Lepisosteus oculatus: one gene and its partner. The main gene of each other region encodes a partner of the protein of the gene in region 2 in a complex. Links are inferred from orthologs where the notes say so. Each region holds a gene or a part of one and is shown on either strand. Other genes may lie near its edges.

Region 1 (10,588 bases), on a different chromosome or scaffold from region 2:
ACAGGTACATACGGTATACAGTATGTACAGAACCATATTCTTACACAATGTAGACTAAAATGTCAATAATAGAATGAATTTCATATATCAAAGATTATTCATATGTGCTTCTCCACTTTTTCTGCAAGCATCACATTTTGCAAAACACTCTGGAGAATGTCAGTAAATAATAAACTTCTAGTTCAGTTGCTTCATTTAAATCCAACATTCCACAACATTAATTTTGGATTGTTCAGTTCATTTAAACAGTTATCCAATAGTTAAAATATAGATGGATTAATGATATGGGTGATCAATCCTGTACTCTGCCATTAATACAGTATATCAAAAGTCCTCTAGTGTTAACGGTTACCTACTGTATTCATACAGTATATAATACCTTAAAGGAGTCATTAAATGTCATTATTGAGTTTAATTATAGGCACTAGACAACCTTTTTGTTAATTCCATTGATTGTGAACAAAGGTATTTTCTATAAAATGAACAATGTTGACACCTGTTTATAAATGTACTGTAGGTAGGCTAGCCTGTTGCTTATAATATGATTACTGGACTAATGTAATTAGTGTGCTTTCCTTAGACTGACATTTTACACGGCATACAATGAAACAGTTCCAGTGCTTATACAGTAATATTAATGGTAATGCTTACTTTTGGTTTTTATTTCTGAAATGTTGAGTAATAACATTCTGGGACAATTATCTAGGAATAACAAACATGTTGTCAAACAGTGTTAAATGAGCACGTAAATAAAAACAGATCAATGTTTTGTTGCCAGACACCTTTGAGCATATTATGCATTTGGCTTGGCAAATAGCACAAGGACATGTGATAAAACCCACAAAAATAGCTCTCCCAAATATGAGTCCACAAAAAAAACAAGAAAAACAAGAAATTCAAAAGAAAAGCAATTGAGGTCTTTTCTGCTAGCAGTTTTCTTTCAGGCTTACTGTTCAACAACCATTAAAAGATACTGTTGGAATCTTTAAATCACACATCTAGGTGAAAGCAGAAATAAATTGCTTTTTTATTTCCTCACAGCAGCTCTTTGAGGTGCTGCTAAGATGGGGTCAACATAGACTGTATAGGCTTTAAGCTTATTTTCCTTTGACTGATGGTGTCAATTTCACTAAGGTTATACTGCAATATTATATTTTAGGAGTGAGATAGTGCCATTATTTCTCTTTACTGTTACTCACTGAGAATGAGCAAGTAATACACTAAGTAGAAACTGAATGTAATTATTTTGAACAGTTTATTTTGGCTATTTAATTGATAAGTCATTACTGTACAGCATGTCCAAATATGAAAATTGGGCAGAATACTCAAGAAATATGCATTGAATGTCTAACATTTACAGTAGCTTGGTTTGCATCACCCATTGAGTACAGTATAGGATTCAACCCCACATTTTTGGGACTGTTATAAGGATAACTATGATAACGTGAGTAAATGATTCTGCAACTCTATAATGGTCTTTTCAGTTTAAAACCATAAAAAAACTCTTGTTGCTCATTTTCTTTTGGAAAATTTCAGCAATGGTAATTAATTTCCTATTTCAAGAGCTCAATGGGAAAACAATATACAGAAATCAAAGTTGCTATTAATTTGTAAAGAAGAAGTAAGTAAAACAATCTTACACTAAATGTCTTAATATCATTTTCTACATGATCTCACTCTCATATTTTTATTTTCTTTCTGTTGCCAACCATTACAATACAGGAATATAATGAAGCGGCTAAATTATGCAATTGTATTTGCCAAGTGCAACCACTTAGTTAAAAACATCATACTGAACTGCCTGTAGCAGGTTTAGCATATACCCCACAGTATACAGTATATCATCTACATTCAAAAGCATTTATCAAGGTAAATGTATTCATAGACTTGATTTAATTGTATACTTTAGGCACTTTATGCAATAAGAACTATATGTCTCTACACATTTGCAGCAAAGTGGCCATCCATCTCTTGCTTGTGCCCTTGATTATGCTGATGTCATGTATTCAATTGTATCTCAAACTTGTCTTCAGACAAATGGACATTAATTTATAATCCAGTGTGTTGATTTGTTCCATAATGCAATTATAAGATACACATGTAAGGTATTCCAGTACTTTTCCTTTATTTTGTGTATACCATCTCATATGTTTGTCCACCTTTCTTTAATAGACACAGTTCACATTCTCCACACTGTTTACATTCGTTTACAACAATAATTAAAAAGTCACATTAGCTACATTTTCAGGAATTCTAAAACATTTCAGCATGTAACTATTCATGTTTTTGGAATGAAAAATAAGCAAGGCAGTCTCATTTTTATGATGGATACAATACATTGCATTTTGAGTTTTTCCATTAATGTATGGTTATGTCCAAAAAGAAAAGGAAAAATAGATATTTAAATGAGTTATATTTTAATATTTTAACATAATTAGCAACCTCTGATTTTTTTAAACAAAAGACTGATTTTCTGAAAATTGTTAAATTTGACAGTTTGGAATTCTTAGTTAATTATGTATTGACTAAGAACATATTCCATGTAACTATTTCTAAAGATTACTCTATTACTAGAAAAACAGCATGTATGACATACTGTATACCAAATTGGTTTATGCATCTGCATTGTTTCTGGGAAATGGTTTCTCTTCATCTTGAATGCAAGCAATAACTGAACCTCAGTGCCTCCTCTCAAGCAATAGAGGATACCCCTGGACACCCTCGTCAAATCTATTTTTAATACTTTTGTGGGTACATTTTCTGGATTGAATGGTGAATAAAAGTTAACTTCATCATAGAGGTATTTAAAGCAATCTTTGGCTGAAAATTATTTTTAACATCAGAAAATTTAAAAGAAATGCACATGCTAAATCATTGACAGATATAGAATATTTGCTATTGTTTGTTAAGTAATGAATTGTTATTTCAAATGCACATTATGAACACCCAAGAATGGTCACCACATCTTAAGGCAAGAATGACCTGAATTTATAACACTGCAGTATTGGTTTGGTCATTTTCATGTCACAGTATTCTGTAACAGGACCTCTGATCATACCAGTATGACTGTTTTCATTAGATGCTCCTCTTGCTATTGGAATGTGCATCCATTTACTGTACATACAGTACTTGTAAAGGCTGGAGTGGATGAGCACCTGGTGTAAACCTGATCTCCACATATGGTGTGATTACATTGGTAAAAAAAAAAGCACAGAGGAAAATTTTACTGTTCCATAAAACATGCTGGTGACTTCGCAGGCTATCAGATGTGTTCTGACTGCGATTTTTGTTTGTTTTAATGTGGCAGCGATATGCTCTTCCTTGATCAGTGTCTTGCTCGTTCATATTTCAACGCGAGTATATAGTTTACACATGCAGTATAACTTGCCTGTAATATGTATTTCTACATAAAGTGTTGTTTTTTTTCCGTTTAGGGCGAGCTAAACTTAAAAACCAACTTCTCATGACTTCTCAGCTGACAAGCGCGCATTTTAGATTTTTGATCATTACAGTACTACCGGCTATATATATTTTTTCAAATAATTAAGTAAAAATATAGTGTTAACTCAAGAATAATTACTGAACACACCCAAATTTATTTTCTAACTGGAGATGCACAATTACGTGTTTTAATCGACAGTTTATCAGCGAAGGTCTTAAGAAAAACACGTTGTGTTAGAAAAACATTTATTGTGTTATTTAGTTTTGTCGTAGAAGTTAAAACTGTTTGTTCCTTTTAAACAAATTATATTGTTTTCAACGGGATTTTTGCGCATATCACATTAAAAAAATATATTATCGATGTTATAAGCCAAAAGGTTTAGATACATTAAAACACTGCTTTACATAAAAACATTCTAACGGCTTTACAGGGGAAACACCATTAAAGCATTGTCTAAAGAAAAAGATGTACAGTAGGTCTGAAATCTGGAAATTCATTAATACAACTTGACATGATCTGAAAATAAAACCAAAATCCATCAGTCCATAAGCTTCTTTTAAGCACATTAGTGCTTTGAAATGACAATTGCAGTTTCCTTGTTTACCATTTTCCATCAACAAACTGAGGATTTTTAGCATTTCATTCCAGTGGGGAACCCCATGAGCATTCAAATAAAAGTTAATATCACGGCACCAAATTATTTCTGGTTCTTGTTTTCGTATTAATTCACTGTCACATAAACAAATTCATTTAAAGCGTTAGGCCTTACTGGAAAGGAGATTTTTAATTATGTTTCCACAATTTCCGTACCTTTTAAACACACATATATATACATTTGTTCCCCTTAAACTACAATTTGCCTAAAACAATAATTTGAACAAACAAATAATAGGTTTATTCCATGGTGAAAAGAGAAGAAAACACAACGTTTCGGCCGTGAAGCCTTCTTCAGGTGTCAACGTCAAACGTTGTATTTGCTTTTTTCTCTTCTCAGCATGTCATAAACCTTTACTTGTTCCTTTGCAGCCTACGCTTGCTGACGCAGCTACCCACCTGAATTGAACAAACATATCACACTTGGAATTATATCAATTCCTCTAGTAAATAATCATTGTCTGAATCAAATTAGACTACCGACAGCTAGCATCTCTTGGGTTCTGTTCATATCATTTAATCTTTACTGTGCAAACCTCTGAAAATTATTTAATGTTACGTACCACTAGGTGTTATATAAATTATTCTAAATTCTACATATCATGATAGTCTAGACCTAGATGTGACCTAAAATAAGTTGTTTTCTCGGATCAACCCTTCACTGGCGAGCATAAATTACGTGTGTGGGGGGATCCATAACACAACTATGAGCAAAGAAAGAGTAGCATATTTCTTTTACTCGTTAAAGATGTAGTACACATTGTCTGCCGGTAGAAGGAACCCGACCCGTTTTAATCGAAAGCTGACTTACAGCAATTGGAAATACCGCACACAGAAAGAGCAGCGAGTCACTGTGTGCGTGTTGCTGAAGAGGTCGCACGTGGACTTAAATCGGAACATAACAGAGGGTGCATTTGCTTAGAAACAACTATTGCTTAATGTATATTCGCTATGTAATACAATACTCCGCTTGCTCTCAAACCTATTTGGAAACGGGGATGGATAAACTTGAGAGCCTGGGTCTGAGAAACCCAAACAACTGTCTCTTCTAATATTAGCATGCCTGTATTCTGTGATCTATTATTGTCGGTCCAGGCAGATCTTATTGTAATACAGCACTTTTATTAAAAGATTAGCACTATCTTCTGCAGTTGGTGGAAAGAATATCTGTTATCACCGAGATATTTGCAGCTGGGGGAAAGTGGGTAGACCCAAAAAATCGATTGGCATTCTTCGTGCGGGGATTTATTCAAAAGGCATGGAGTTCAGGAGGTGCATAATCTTGAAAAAAGTACTGGAGTAAATAGCGTCTACGTTAGGCAATTTTTGCAGAAATGTCGCCCACTCATTTTCATAGCACAGTGCCAAGTATGTTGTAAAGAATGAGCACTCGCCTACATAGAGTAAACAAAAGCCAGACGGCTGTTAATAAACCTGCATTATAATGAAACGAAGTAATGTCTTTCGATGTTGCAATCGTAAAACCAAGGCGAAACTGCTTACAGTGATATAATATTCAGTAGTTATATTGTAATGATTTTTAGATGGCTGGGTGTTATAGAAATCTGGTCATTTTGAAGAATTTCTTTTTCAGAGTTGGGATTCATTTGTTGTTGTTGTTGTTGTTGTATAGTTCTCTTAATGTAAAGTATTCATATAAAACTATTTTTAAAACTTGTTTTAAGTTAATACCATAAACCTTCAATTTTAAAAAGAGATTTATTTCCTAATATTATTGAACATAAGAAAAAAAATCATTTTCTAATGTAAAACATGTGTAGGTGTTTTAATTGACCTTAGTTTTAATGTCAGTTATTAGGCTATATCATGATAAATATAGCCTTGCAATATCTTCCACTTTCATTATGGGACGGGCTTGGTATTCTTTCACATTGTATCAAACGCAGACGCGTACATACAGTACACAACATCCCAGACCATGCCCACTGTGCATAGTTTCCTGTACTATTGTTTTGAGAGAAAGTTTCGACTGGAGATGTCACCTGATTTGGATCGAAAGAACTTTTTTTTAATCTTACTCCCCACCCCCACCGATTAGAAGACCGCCCACCACAGACAGTCGGCCCGAGACCCCTTATAGATTTAAAAAGAGAGGCTGCATTCACAGACTGACATTCATTCAACTCAGCGATCGTAAGCAGATTACTTTTCCGCTGCCTGTTTCTTCACTCCGGTTCACTTTGCCTTCATCATGCTAAGGATGCTAAAGAGATATCAGCTCCACCCGGGCATGATTTTATTATTTATATGGCTAAGTCATTTAATTGAAGATCACAAAGTGCAAGGTAAGTGCGAGTATACAGTTATTTTTAGTAGTACATTTTAGTTGGATGCCATTTAATATTTTGAAAGACATTTGTATGGTATAAAAAATAAAGTGTCAGGTTTAAAACTTTTTCAAGACCTAACGGGTATACGCAAGATCACTTTGTATTTACTTTTAACTTTGTTCTGAACATGCAACTCAGCTTTATCTTAATGCATTAAGCGCTAACAAAACAGGTGCATTTCTATTCGTTTTTAAAATATGTATTGAATATTTGGATATTCAAGCTTTTTACCTGCATATTATATTTCACTTGACTAACTAGCCAAGCATCGGTTTATGGTAGGGTATACTTGTGCTGGACTATAAATGAAGCACTTTAATATGTATAACAGCGATAACTGTGTTTTTAGGCTTCAGATTTCCTGAAGGAAACTTAAACTGGAAAGAATAATACAATTAATACCAGAGACATAACACGTGATTTTAAGTCTTCTGCTCTCCCTGACAGTCAATTTATCTAGCAGCTCTAAATATAAGCTTCAGTTTTCAACTTTTTTATTACCCCACTTTTCAGGCAGTTGTATTAATAGACTTTACATGAAGTCTGTTGAGTCTCGTTTTGTTGGAAGACAGGAATAGTAAATAGCCTACAGATCTCACGACCCATTGAAGCTGGATGAATTAATTGCCATTGAACCAACAGAAAAGTCACATTGCTTATTTATTGGTAGTGAAGTCCCATTCCTTTCATACAAGAGCTAGCAGTGTAACCGCGATCCAAGTAGGTCAACTCGTCTCATGAAACACAGCAAAATAAATATAAACCTTGCGTGACTCGGAAAGTGTACTGCAATGACATGTCCGCCGCGTTGCACCGACTGTATGGTAATGCTGTGACTAGCAGTTAATCTTCCCAAGTGTTGAAGTAAATCCGACACTGCTGCTTTCTTCAGTGTGCTCTCACACAGAGTGCACGGACAAGGGGGATGAAGCGCAAGTGTACAGTACGCTACACATGTTTTGAAAAGCAAGTTTTCAGCTGTTAACATTTCATGCAGTGTTCTTTGTTTTAAACTGTAATTAACACCATCCATGTGATTGCAGTGGTATCTCGACATTTTAGCATTATTAACAAAACCCGTGTGATAGTAGTTGTATCTTGGTGATTTTAGTTTCTTCAATACGATTAATCATAATTTGATTTTAGGCTGGCTTTACACTATTGTACTGTGCTTTAGCATATTATTCATGCGGTACCTTGTCCCCCGTACTGTGACTCGTACTGTCCATTTGAAATCTGGTTTAAAACAGACGCGGTAGTATTGTATTGCTTTTTCCGATTTGTGTAGACGGTTGTCGTAAGGTAGGTAATCGTATTGGGATCTGACTTTGCAATTGTTAAATGTCTCGTCACGTTACAGAATCAGACAAAATACCGAGGATAAACAGACCACCATAAGCCAATATACAGTAAGCTGCACGTGTTATGTCTGGGTCATTGGCTTCCGACTTTAAGTTCTTTTTCTTTGCAGCTGGTAACTGCTGGCTACAGCAGGGAAAAAACGGAAGATGCCAGGTTCTCTACATGTCTGGGATGAGCAGAGAAGAGTGTTGCAGAAGTGGCAGACTGGGAACTTCGTGGACCGAGGAAGATGTACCAAATAGCACGCTTTTTAGGTGGATGATCTTCAACGGAGGAGCCCCAAATTGTGTACCTTGTAAAGGTACATGAAATTAAGCCCAATATATTACTATCGATGTACAGTGTATAGCAGTCTTATTAAAAAACGATTAAGTGCCAGATCAATAAATTTTATGAAGATAGCAAAGCTAGTTTGTGTATTTGTGAATAAATAATTTCATTTGGAAATAATTAATAAAAACGTGAATTCCAAGGTCATTACCCTTTTTCAATAGCTGCATGTCATTTATTGTGTTTTATTTGTGTAGAATCTTGTGACAATGTGGACTGTGGCCCTGGAAAAAGATGTAAAATGAACAAGAGAAACAAACCCCGCTGTGTCTGTGCTCCCGACTGTTCCAATGTTACTTGGAAAGGACCTGTCTGCGGGTCCGATGGAAAGACCTACAGAGATGAATGCGCCTTGCTGAAGGCAAGATGTAAAGGTCATCCAGACCTGGAAGTTCAATACCAGGGCAAATGCAAAAGTAAGTTCCTTAGTGTCTCTTGTCTTCCCCACTAAAAGATGCTGTGAATGCTAAGAAGGAGAAAGACTGTGGAAATGCACTGTTTGCAGTTGTGTGGAAATACACTAATGGTGCATAGGTCATGCCTAATAATATAATGGTGATGTTGACGATATTCAATGATATTAAACAACATATTAATAAAGAAGTCCCTTCTTTAAAAAAAAAACAACATGATCTACTTATAATTTGACTTTCTTATAGAGACATGCCGTGATGTTCTGTGTCCGGGCAGTTCAACGTGCGTCGTTGACCAGACCAATAATGCCTACTGTGTGACATGTAATCGGATTTGCCCCGAAGTTACATCTCCAGAGCAGTATCTGTGTGGAAATGATGGAATCATTTATGCAAGCGCTTGCCACCTGAGAAGGGCTACTTGCCTGCTGGGCAGATCAATTGGTGTTGCATATGAAGGAAAATGCATAAGTAAGTTATTGTCAGGTCCCATGTTACAATACCGAACTCTTCAGATCACTGTTTTGACACCTTTAAGTTTGTCTTTCTGCATTTCAGAAAAAAAGCCTCTTTTTAATCCTAATGAACATGAAAGTGCATTCCATTTTGATAGAAAATGTCTAGTTATAGACATAAGTAATATTTAAAAAAAGTTTCATGTCCTCAATTCACCCCCCAATTTAGTCTGCCACAGTTTCTCATTTTCAAACTGTTTTTTGTTATACATACCTGGGGTCATATGATGTTAAAACTTTAAAATGTTTTCCAGACCTTGTTGGCTTTGCTGTTATTAGTTGATTTCCATGTGTTCTGTCCAGATGCCAACACCCGTCTTACTACCACAACATGTAAGGGAGTAATTATGAATGGGAGACCTGGAGCCTCGTTATGCTATCATATTACATTGGTCTACATGCTTGTTATTTTGGGGAAAATATATACATGTACAGTATGTTTGTATATATGTATGTGATGGCACATCCTGATTCTATGTGATCTTAGGACGACAGTACATGTATGCCAAGCTCTTTTTATAAAACATACCCTCATGGCATACTTACTGAATCCCTTTATCTCTGTCATAAAATTAAGCCAAATCCTCATTGCTTTTAATTATATGTGGTGTTTATGAACATAAAGGGCAGTTTGCTAAGGGACTCTGTGGTGTTCCCTGGTTTTGTAGAAGCGAAATCCTGTGATGATATCCAGTGCAGCGCTGGGAAGACGTGTCTATGGGATGCAAGAATGGGCAGGGGACGCTGCTCACTGTGTGATGAAGTGTGTCCTGAGAGCAGATCAGATGAGGCAGTGTGTGCCAGCGATAACACCACGTACCCCAGCGAGTGTGCCATGAAGAAGGCCGCTTGCTCTGTGGGCGTTCTTCTGGAAGTTAAACATTCTGGATCTTGCAACTGTAAGTAAACCATAAAGTGAAAGACACTTCGATATTCTGTCAGCCACCCCTTGCAGACTAAGGAAAAGAAAAGACTGGAAATGGGAGTTGTTGCATGTCTTCTTGCACTGGCTTTATTAATTTTGCATTTTCTGCAAAAAACCGAAGTAGACATGAAGACTCATCTTTGGGAGCTATTGGGCTCCTAATTCCCTTCACATAACTAACAAGATTATATTTGAAGACTAATGTTTGCAGTTAGTGCACTCTTGCTAAGAAATTGTAGAAGAGTACATGGTAATTCTAGTAGCCTGTCCTTCAGCAGGTTGCCTTAAGACGATATACTTGCTGTCATGCTGTCAATGTAGGAAGACACATAAGTTGGCCATATCTTTACATCTTGTAAATGACACGGTCATAATGGTAATCATATGTTAACCATGTATTTATTTCCTTGCTTATGGCTGTAATCAATCATTTTAAAATCCACTGACATTGATTTCTACTATGACATACACAATTAAGCCTTTATATAGAAGCATACATTCATAATTGTACATAAGGTGATTGTAACATTGGTACCATTGCAGTTTTAAATACTAAGGGGCAATGTTAACATGATAACTAAATCAAGTAATATTTC
Region 2 (9,476 bases):
GACACCCTATGACCATAATGGACAGGCACAGCTGTGCGTTTTGACATACAGAAGACACAGCTGTACCAGAAGAGCTCAACCATACACATTAACTTGTAGAACACAACCTAATAACTTAATAGACAGACACAGCTGTACATACCTAACAAATGGGAGACACTCTTACACCACATGACAGAGGCTGGACAGTATGTAGAACACACTCTTCGTAAGATAGAACTTCAATGCTATCATGGGCTGCTGAAGCAAATAAAAACAACACTTTATGAGCAGAGAACATTAATTGCAGCACTTAGTATCTGCTGGGTCCTGCTCACAGGAACTGCCTGAATGCCACAGTATAGGGAGTTTAAAGGCCACAATGAATAAACACCACCAGTCTTCAGGAAGAGGGTGGAGCGCTTTCAGTTCAAGCTTAATTGGAGCAGCTGACCCTCTTACACAGGGCTGAAGTCCCAGCTGATTTAAGGAGACCTGCTGGACTGCTGCCCACGAGCTGTGCAATTAGGGAATCCCTGTGCAGAGAAACCAGCTTTCTTTAAAGCACGACAAGGTAACGAAATTACCAACAACTCCGAAGACGAGCCAAAAGTCCAGACTTACGCCCAGTGGGCCAGTGGAGCTCTCATGGTGGTTTAAGCAGCAGTTAGACGAGCCTGAACAGAGGGCCAAGCAGGCATTCAGGTTCAGACTAGCAGCTTTGTTCTTTTCCCGACAGCGAGCAACGACACAGTCGAAGCCGGGCCGAGACTGCCCAAGCTGAGCCCCACCCTTATGGCTTCACTACACCCTGAAGACTGGGCTGACCTCAGGGGAAGACCGAAAAGACCTTGATCTCATGCGAGTGGGGGAGACACGTGAGTCACCCCAGCGCCTGCATGGAACTTCCAATTCTCAATTCACCAGGAAGAACCACACCCCAGAATTAAGAATTAAGCGCATTGAAGGTTTACTGAGAGTCTTAGTCACAGTATATCGGGCTTTGCCTGCTTGGCTGAGGGCTGACCCTCCCTGTGCACCGGACGAGAGGCTGGGACCCCCCTGTGGAAGAGGAGGGGGAGATGGGCAGGAGGAGGCATCGCGTGTGATATTTAGAATTTATCATGTCTTAGGTGAGGAAACGACATCAGGATCGAGGAAGCATTAGAGCTGAGGCTCCCTGGACTTGGATTTTAGCATCCGTTCCAAAGTTCCCCTGTAAACCTCATCTGTTCCAGGCCTAGAACCAGCGCAAATGTAAGCCAGTTAAGTCGATAATTGAATCAATTAAGTCATTAAATGTTCAGGTGGAATGAAAACCTGGAAAAACCAAGGGGGGGAGGGAGGATCTCCAGAGCCAGCAGTGAGGGGCAGGCCACCAGACAATTCAAGCCCTGCTAAGTGTGTGCCTGCAGAATGAGATCAGAATGCATTTGAACTGGTTCCGTAATCTAATTGTACTTGAATTATACCGATTTTCTAAGGCAGCGGGTACGACTTGCTCATGCGAATCCGAATCAAAAATCTTTAAAGCTGCAGGTCCCATTTCTGGGCGGTTTTCCTGACGAAGCGAAATGATGGTCAGAGACTGTGACCCGCCAGTTAACAGGTAATTGTAACCCCAACTGTCCTCAGCGATGTTGTCCCTCGTCACGGTTCAGCAGGCAGAGGAGAACGTGGGGAAACGGGGAGTGAAGGTTACAGCCAAGACAAAACGCAATCCGATTCGTACCTTCTCTTTGATTACAAGAACAACAACCTTTGAGTCCTCTGCCAACTAAAAAGTGCAGAAGGAAAATGAGAAGGAATGAATGTGAAATCTTCTAGTGAAAAAGAGAGGACACGGTTCTCACCACTGGACATCATCCGTAATTTTCACCCACAAGCAGACAGAAATGGTTAATTATTTCGGGATTAAAAATTAATCCCTTGCAGGTTTATATGAAGTTAAAAACGACATTGTTCAGCAAAAGGCGCGTTAGATTGTATGATTTGAACCCCGGTTTTTATTTTTTCTGTTCTTATCGTTATTATTACTGTTAACTAATAGCCGATTTAATGGTGCTCTATGACGTTAGTTTATTGTGTACAATACAGCGTCCTTCTCTGCTGGCTGAGCTGTAGCAGTAAATAAATGTATACTACATTGACCGTGCGTAAACCCAGTACAGTTCCGTCATTGATTTAGGATTTTTAAAATGCAAAACCGACTTTCAGAATACAAAATTACTGAGGCGGTGGCATGACAACGGAGGAAAACTCGAAAGTAATTCTAATAAAATATTTTCGTTCTTCCAGTTCACGTGCTCCCGTTGTCGCTAATCGCCTCTTGCAGAACCCTCAGCGTTGCTATTGTGACGGTAAAAGTGCGAATTCTAAAGAAATTGTGTGGAAGAAATATATACGGAGTCTATTATGCGCTCCGCATCAGCACAACGTGGCCTGTGTGACAATCACTGTAGAAGTTAGTTATGTGCAACACAAACCTACCCTTGTTCGCTTTTGCAAAGGATTAGTTAACCCGGCTTTTGGGTAGCCTTGTGCAGAATACATTACGTGTGTAAATCTCGTCGAACCTCAGCGATTCTCCGCGGAAAGGTCACACACTCCCTCGAATCCAACTTTCTCAGCCCTGCTATCTCCAGTGAAAAAAAAAAGCGAGCTCTGCCTATAAAGTTCTCATTTGAAAAAGGCCAGCGCAGCAGAGCGCCGCAGCGACAGCTAACAATAGCGGGTATTTGAACACACTTGTCCTCGCTGCGCGGAGCAGCGGGAGACCCCGTTAGAGCTCGCTTATAAAGGAGTACCATAGCGCAGCTGTTGACTGTAGTAAGGTTTCTAAAACTTGCAGTATGGCCCGTCTCTGCGAGACCCCTAACCCTGGACGTTTCTTCATCTGTTGCGCTTGATGTAATTAGGTTTCATTTACATTGTCGTTAGGATTAGGCTTTCTCGGCGTAGCCGATACGGACGGCCCGCTTGAAGGGGCGTCAAATGATCGCTCTCGGTCTGTCAAACAATTTAAACAAGCCGCATATGGGAGAGAGGAGGGGGTTCAAACGCGAATTTGCCCAACCGCGACGCGTATCCGAAAACGAGCGAAACTGGTTCGCACTCCCGCGGTTCCTGGTGTGGGTTTGGACGCGGGGACGCGGGAGGCTTCGTGTCCTGCTCGCTTGCTTTAAACTCGTCGTCTTTTGTGGGACGAAAAGAAAGGCCGCTAAATGAAGAGGCAGCGAACGGACAACCTGCACACCTGTTATAGCCCGCAAAATGAACGGCCTGTGCCGTTCTCAGTAGATGCGCAACTACAGTACCAGACGCGTCTGTGTGCGGCGATGACGGGTCTGAACACAACATGACAGAGAAGATTGCCGGCAAAGTTCTTTTTAGTACCTAGGCTGTGTTCCGTGCATTAACTGACGAGATTGAAAGCTCAAATTAAATTAAGGCTCGTACCAAAGTACACAAAATCCGAGCAACGCAGAAAACGACCAGCCTAGAACACTGTTCTGTAAAGAGGGGGGCATTTTCCTACACAGTCAAAATGGGAATTAAGGCAGTTTGATGCGTCTGGTCCAGAGGAGTCCAGCAACACGGACGCGCACAGTGCAGATGACAGACACAGAGTGGGGACAGCCTGGGTCCGACTCCCAGGAAAAAGGGATCTTCCTGGAGACTCCACTACAACGGCGGAACCGGGCAGAAAAAAAAATACATTTTGTTCTCAAGTTCACATCAGTTTATCGACCCAAATTTCAATAGGGACACATAGGAAAACTGACTTCTGCGTGCGGAGTGTCCCCTTCACGAATCCCGCGCCCGCAATCTGACAGGCGCCCAGCTGACACGGGGGGAACGGAAGAGCTAACAGACTCCAATAGACTGCAAGTGCGGGACTCCGCCGCCTGCCCGGCTCTGCTGGTCAGGCTTCTCTCAAAGTTAGCGGGGGGGGGGGGTATTTCTTCAATAGCCGCAAGTCGCACCGCTAGCAAAGACTGGAATAACTAACGCGCCCCGAGGGGACCTGCTGGGAGAGAGGTCTCGCCGCGAACACTCACGTTCCGAAGCCATGGTGATCACGGACTCGGTGGTGGCGTGATACTCGTCCTCCTCCATAAACTCATCCTGTAGCGAAGCGTCCCCCTGGAAGTCGTGATGGTCCAGGAGCTGCTGGAGAGGCGGCGCCTTGGGGAGCAGCTGGTTGACTACCTCCCGGCTGATATTGGGCGCCTGCTTGAGCCGCAGCTTGCTCAGGATCTGGGACTTGATGGTCTCCAGCCTGAGGACTCTGCTGTGCTCCCTCCACACGCACGCCGTGCACTCCTGCGCGCCCGGATCCTCCGCTTCTGCCAAAGGATCCCCGGCTTCCGTGGGCACCTCGCTCGCCGGCCGCAGGGGGAGGCTGGGCTCGTCACTGCCCGACAGTCGCAGCGAAATCAGTGCCATCAAACACAGAAGAAAGTGAGACTTGGGCATGATGCCGGGCAGCGTGAGGTCGTGTTCTCTCCCGGCTCTTCCTCACTTCGTTTCTCACAAGTGACTTCTGTCCGTATTCTTGACTGCAGCCCCTACCGCGTCCCTACAGAGCTAGCGGTAATTAGCAACAATCCCAATACTCCAATTAACAGTGCTAAACGATTATTAACGCTCTTAACTATGAGAAACGATGATAATAAACGCGCCGCAGGGTGCGCCCAGCCGTTTCTTCGGCGCTCGCTGCCCTAGCTCGTTCAGAAGTGCTGATTTATCGGTTTGTTTTGGTTGTAGAGCCGGACACAATTAAAATCATCAAGAATTCCGTGTGAAGATGTGTGAATGAATGGTGTGCAGGCAAGTCTAAAAAGGGCTCTTTTTATATCACAGCTGCTCCGTGTCGTATTCCGCCTCTATTGGCTGCGAGCGCAACAAAAGGCTGTTAGGTCTGTCACCAAGTCAAGAGAGAGAGGGAGAGAGATAGCGAGGGGGAGAGGGAGAGCGCGGGGGGAGAGGGAGAGGGAGATAGAGAGACGCGGGGAGAGGGAGACAGAGTTTCAGTTGGGTCAGACACCCTGTTAACGCTTCCCGAGCGACTGCTCCGAACTTCGGTTAAAAAAGAAAACTGCAAAGGATCACCTTCGCGCCCGGGGGCTGGACTGTCCAGGGCCGTGAACGGGCTTCGCTCCAGTGTCCTCTAGCTGCTGACACTTCTCCGAGATGTCCCCCTGGCACGATCCGTCCGAGTAACAAGTGCGTCGGGGTTTGAGAGAATAAATGAATGCCTTACCGCTGCCGCCCGCCGCTCGACGCCAACCTGTGGCCTCCGCGATTTCGCCGCGCAGGTGAAGCCGCACTGCTGATGGACTTGAATTACTGTACCAGGCTCTCTCCACAAGCAGAGCGTCAGGCCGTAGGTCAGAGGTTTTATATACCATGACTGACTCTGCAGGCGAGTCAGATAGATCACTTTCTGTTGTAGAACGGTAGCAACACATAGGCTATCGAGTACACATCTTTCTAACAGCACCGTGAGGAGTTAGACGGCAGGCGACGGTCGAAAATCGGATGACGATCTCCGCCAATACTGGAGTATACGGCGGTATTGAGAGTATTCGTGGTGGGCGGGAGCATGGATCTCCTCTTGACAAGATTGCTCTAGTTCTCATGAACCCCGTCGTGTTAAACTCGTTTCCGTTGTTCTCTATTTACCCCCCGGAAAAATTAAAGCGAAAACGAGATTAAATCGCGTTGTTAAGCATCGCCTTTGACAATACCCCCGAAAATGAATTCCCGAACTCCATAGTTCCACACTGTTCTTAATGGTAAAACTTGTCCAGGAAATCAGACTCTCCACATTGCCTGGGCAGTGCAGGAATGGACTCAATCCCTGGAAAGCGCTGAAGAGCGAGCGAATTTCCTCGACAGCCTGGCTCTATCGGGCTGTGTCTCGTTTAAAAGCCCAGTGCTTCCTTTATTCTTGAACAATCATGCGGTTTCATCTGCTCGCTTTCGTGTTCAGATGAAGGCATCGCTACCATAAATGCCGCATAACTGTGCCCCCGCATTTACGCGGGGTCTCCCTGTACAGTTCCCAGTCCCGTGTTTCTTCCAGGAGAGCTGCAGAGCAGAGGGGGACGCGTGACCCAGCGGGGTGAAGTGGCGCGAGTGTGAAGTGTCACTGGGCGTGTCAACGATGTGTCCTGGTCTTGGGAAAGTTGTCAGGTACTGAAAGAACAACCCCGTGGGACAGCTGAAAATATTGTGATCACCTGATTGTGGACATCTAATAGCTAGCCAGGTGGTGAATAAACCTCTTCTTCAGTCCCATCCTACAGATTGTCTCAATGACTCTTAAGTGTCTTATGTTAACACCCCATAGAGATCTGGATCAACAGCCCCTCTGCCCCAGTGCTGGGCTAGAGATCTGGATCAACAGCCCCTCTACCGCAGCGCTGGGCTGGAGATCTGGATCATCTGTCCCTCTGCCCCAGCGCTGGGCTGGAGATCTGGATCATCTGCCCCTCTGCCCCAGCGCTGGGCTGGAGATCTGGATCATCTGCCCCTCTGCCCCAGCGCTGGGCTGGAGATCTGGATCATCTGCCCCTCTGCCCCAGCGCTGGGCTGGAGATCTGAATCAACAGCCCCTCTGCCCCAGCGCTGGGCTGGAGATCTGCATCAACAGCCCCTCTGCCCCAGCGCTGGGCTGGAGATCTGCATCAACAGCCCCTCTGCCCCAGCGCTGGGCTGGAGATCTGGATCATCTGCCCCTCTGCCCCACTATGGGACAGTGATCCGGAACGTCAGCTCCTCTCTCCGAGAGCTGGGGCAGAGATTCAGAGATCCTGAATATGCCCCATTGGCACCTCAGGAAATGGTGTCATGTGACAACCAGGCTATGGTCTTGCTGCCATTGGTGTGCATGACTTTCATTTCAGCTTTTTTCTCACTCCTTCACCTGTCGTCAGGGACGTTTGTAGACTCATAATGCTAAGATCGCAGGTTTTCAAACCTGAATTTGACCTGCAGAATCATTGTGGCTCACTGGGCTCACACTGCCCAGACTTCAGATGAAGCTTACAGTGCTCCAGGACTTCTGAGTTAGAGACAGGTGCTTCTGCTAGGGGGATCTAGAAAGCCTCTGAACATGATCCAGTAGTTCAAATCAAACTCCATTTCCGAAGCAGCTGGTGCAGGCTGCACTGACTGGGCCGCAGGGGTCACAGGAAGCTGGGCTGATGAATACTGCTGGCCTGGGTTGCTTCAGATGTTATTATGTCACAGGTCATGTGAACGAAGTGACGAGTCCTTTCAGACTGTACGGTAAAGTTTATGAATTTGATTTTTTTGCTGTTGCATAATAATAAGCACACCGCAATATAGCTGTCAAAGCAAAACAGCACGTTGGGCATGGTTGCCATCACGTTCTGGCTGTGCTTTTTTAGGGTTTGGAGGAGGAGGAGAATTTGGGCAAAATAGGGTAATAGATTTCATTTAACAGAAGTTGATGACACATTCACTAAGTTCAGGTGGGTAACTAAAGGTTTATTCCATGCTGAAAGGAAAAGATCAGAGACACGAGACTTTTGTGTCTCTTTTGCTTTCCTTTTCAGCATGGGACTAATTCATAATGTGGATAACTGCCAATATTAGTGAAGGAATTAAAACAGAGGGAAAAAACCCCATCACATTCAGGATATCTTCTATTTCTATTGCCACTTCACGTGCGAATGTTGTATTTTAGTGCTACCTAATGGTAATTAAGAAAATGATTGCACTGTCTGGCAAAGAACTAACACTCAGTTTGCTCATTGATTTATTTCAGTTTTGCAAAACCTGTCCTGTTTCACCGGGTCCAGCTCTTACAAGGCCAGCTGGTGACCTACATGAAATCCAATTGTCATGTTGGCGCTAGGGCAAGGAGTGCTCTGGGGATTGCTGTGATACATCTGAGCCACTAGGGGGCACACACTCACTGTGTCTCCTCGACTGCACTGGAAATCCAGGCCCAGTGAAGTGAGGTCCCTTGCTGAAGCACGCAGTGTGTTTCAGAGGTAATAAAACCCAGGTTCTGTCTGTCACCTCTATAGCAGGAGAGGCAGGATTCTAAAGTGCTGCTCTTTGTCCTCTGATCCCCGCAGTTCATCCCTTTCACAGGCCTTACCTGTTGTTAGGTGTGGCACAGTGAGCCTCCAGAGGAGATCGGACCTCAGCAAGTCGGTGGGGTGTCTGGAGACTGCAGAGCACTCTGAGAAGTGGGTTAATCACAGTCATAATAGGCAGCGTACCAACTTAATTAAGGAGAACAATAGTTCAGAGCAGATAAGCACTGCTATTAGGGTCAGAAAATATTGCTGGGCTACTGAGATATATAAAGGTAAAAGTCAGCTGTGTCTGCACTAATATCTAAGCTCAGAGGAAAAGACATCATGACATACTCATGGTCTGACCTGCACGCTGTGGTTCCTGAGATGCTCAGAGATACAACTGGATTCCAGAAGAACGGTTCATTCTTTAAAAAGGAACATGCCAATCCGTCTGAACTCTTCTGTGGGAAATGGGCTGAAGTCCAGGCTGGTGCTCCTGGTTCATAGGAACGCCTCTCTGCCTACTGGTGTCTCAGCGCGACCAGACTGAGACTGGATTATGATCCCCTGTCCGATCCCAGGGTAGGATGAGCTGCTGGCGGGTCGTGGCTGGTCTGTGAGCAGCTCGGTGGGGAGATGTGACTGGGGCGCCCCTGGCCTTGCTGCAGGCACAAGCACGTGCCCCTGGGCAGACGACAGCACAGGTCTTGGAAGGATCTTTCCAGGGAGGACTCTCAGCCTTTGATCCAGAGCTGTTATTGCTGCAATGGGAGCACAACAAAGACCCAGAGGATTCTCTGCTGGTCACGGCTGCGTTGGTGTAGATGGGTGCAGCCATGCTGAAGAGCCCAGACCACAGGCGCTAATGTCATGAAAAGGCCTGAGCCCTGAAGTCCACAACGCTTTGTGTACTTCTCCTGTACGCTTTTTGTTTCTCTTGTATGAGATGCCTCCTGCTGTGCTGTATCACACAACAAAACTGAAGCACTGCAGTGTGTGTACTGCTTCCAATCAGAGCTAAACCCAGGGGTGCCAGTACTGAATGTCTGCAGCATCTAATGAGCTGCACACATAAGTGCTGGAAGTCCCTATGTGCCTCTAATTCACTTAGAATGTATTTTTATGAGATGCTAGTGGAAATCTGTTCCCAGTGTGCTTGAAAAAGACATCACTTGTTGTCTTGATTGTTTATAACCAAAACGTATTAACTCAATAAGATAAGATCACTTTATTAGTCATATACAATTTCTTGTATTAGGAATTTGTCTTTTCACATACCTCAGCTCACTCTCCATGAAACACACAGACATGGAGAGAAGCTGGCAGGTCAGCCATTTATAAGGCACCCCTGGAGCAGTTGAGATTAAGGGCCTTGCTCAGGGGCCCAAGGGAGAAGGATTCCTCTGCAGCGCAGATCCTTAGCCACAGAGCCAC

What was found.
Region 1: the proteins of gdf11 (region 2) and fsta are in contact, whole or in part, in a crystal structure (PDB 5JHW), measured with the Homo sapiens proteins. The link is inferred for Lepisosteus oculatus from reciprocal best matches to the Homo sapiens genes GDF11 and FST. Residues at the interface, in NP_005802.1 of Homo sapiens: Asn299, Leu300, Gly301, Leu302, Glu310, Arg312, Asp328, Trp329, Ile331, Ala332, Lys334, Arg335, Tyr336, Lys337, Tyr347, Met348, Phe349, Met350, Pro354, His357, Gln361, Ile380, Asn381, Leu383, Phe385, Asp387, Lys388, Gln389, Gln390, Ile391; in NP_037541.1 of Homo sapiens: Leu34, Arg35, Gln43, Val44, Leu45, Tyr46, Lys47, Thr48, Arg60, Ser62, Asp72, Asn73, Leu75, Phe76, Met79, Ile80, Leu134, Asp135, Arg149, Gln153, Pro154, Glu155, Val180, Val181, Asp182, Gln183, Tyr188, Val190, Thr191, Asn193.

Annotation. Positions count from the first base shown.
Region 1 is NC_090698.1:38,663,673-38,674,260, reverse strand, and holds the start of fsta (follistatin-A), read left to right. Parts: upstream 1-6,152; 5' UTR 6,153-6,308; coding exon 6,309-6,402; intron 6,403-7,918; coding exon 7,919-8,110; intron 8,111-8,336; coding exon 8,337-8,555; intron 8,556-8,798; coding exon 8,799-9,023; intron 9,024-9,735; coding exon 9,736-9,966; coding exon of another isoform or gene 9,967-9,974; intron 9,975-10,588. UniProt on the Homo sapiens protein: Multifunctional regulatory protein whose primary function is to antagonize members of the transforming growth factor beta (TGF-beta) superfamily including activin, myostatin, GDF11 or bone morphogenetic proteins (BMPs).
Region 2 is NC_090696.1:14,591,300-14,600,775, forward strand, and holds the start of gdf11 (growth/differentiation factor 11), read right to left. Parts: upstream 4,857-9,476; 5' UTR 4,459-4,856; coding exon 4,041-4,458; intron 1-4,040. UniProt on the Homo sapiens protein: Secreted signal that acts globally to regulate anterior/posterior axial patterning during development. May play critical roles in patterning both mesodermal and neural tissues. It is required for proper vertebral patterning and orofacial development.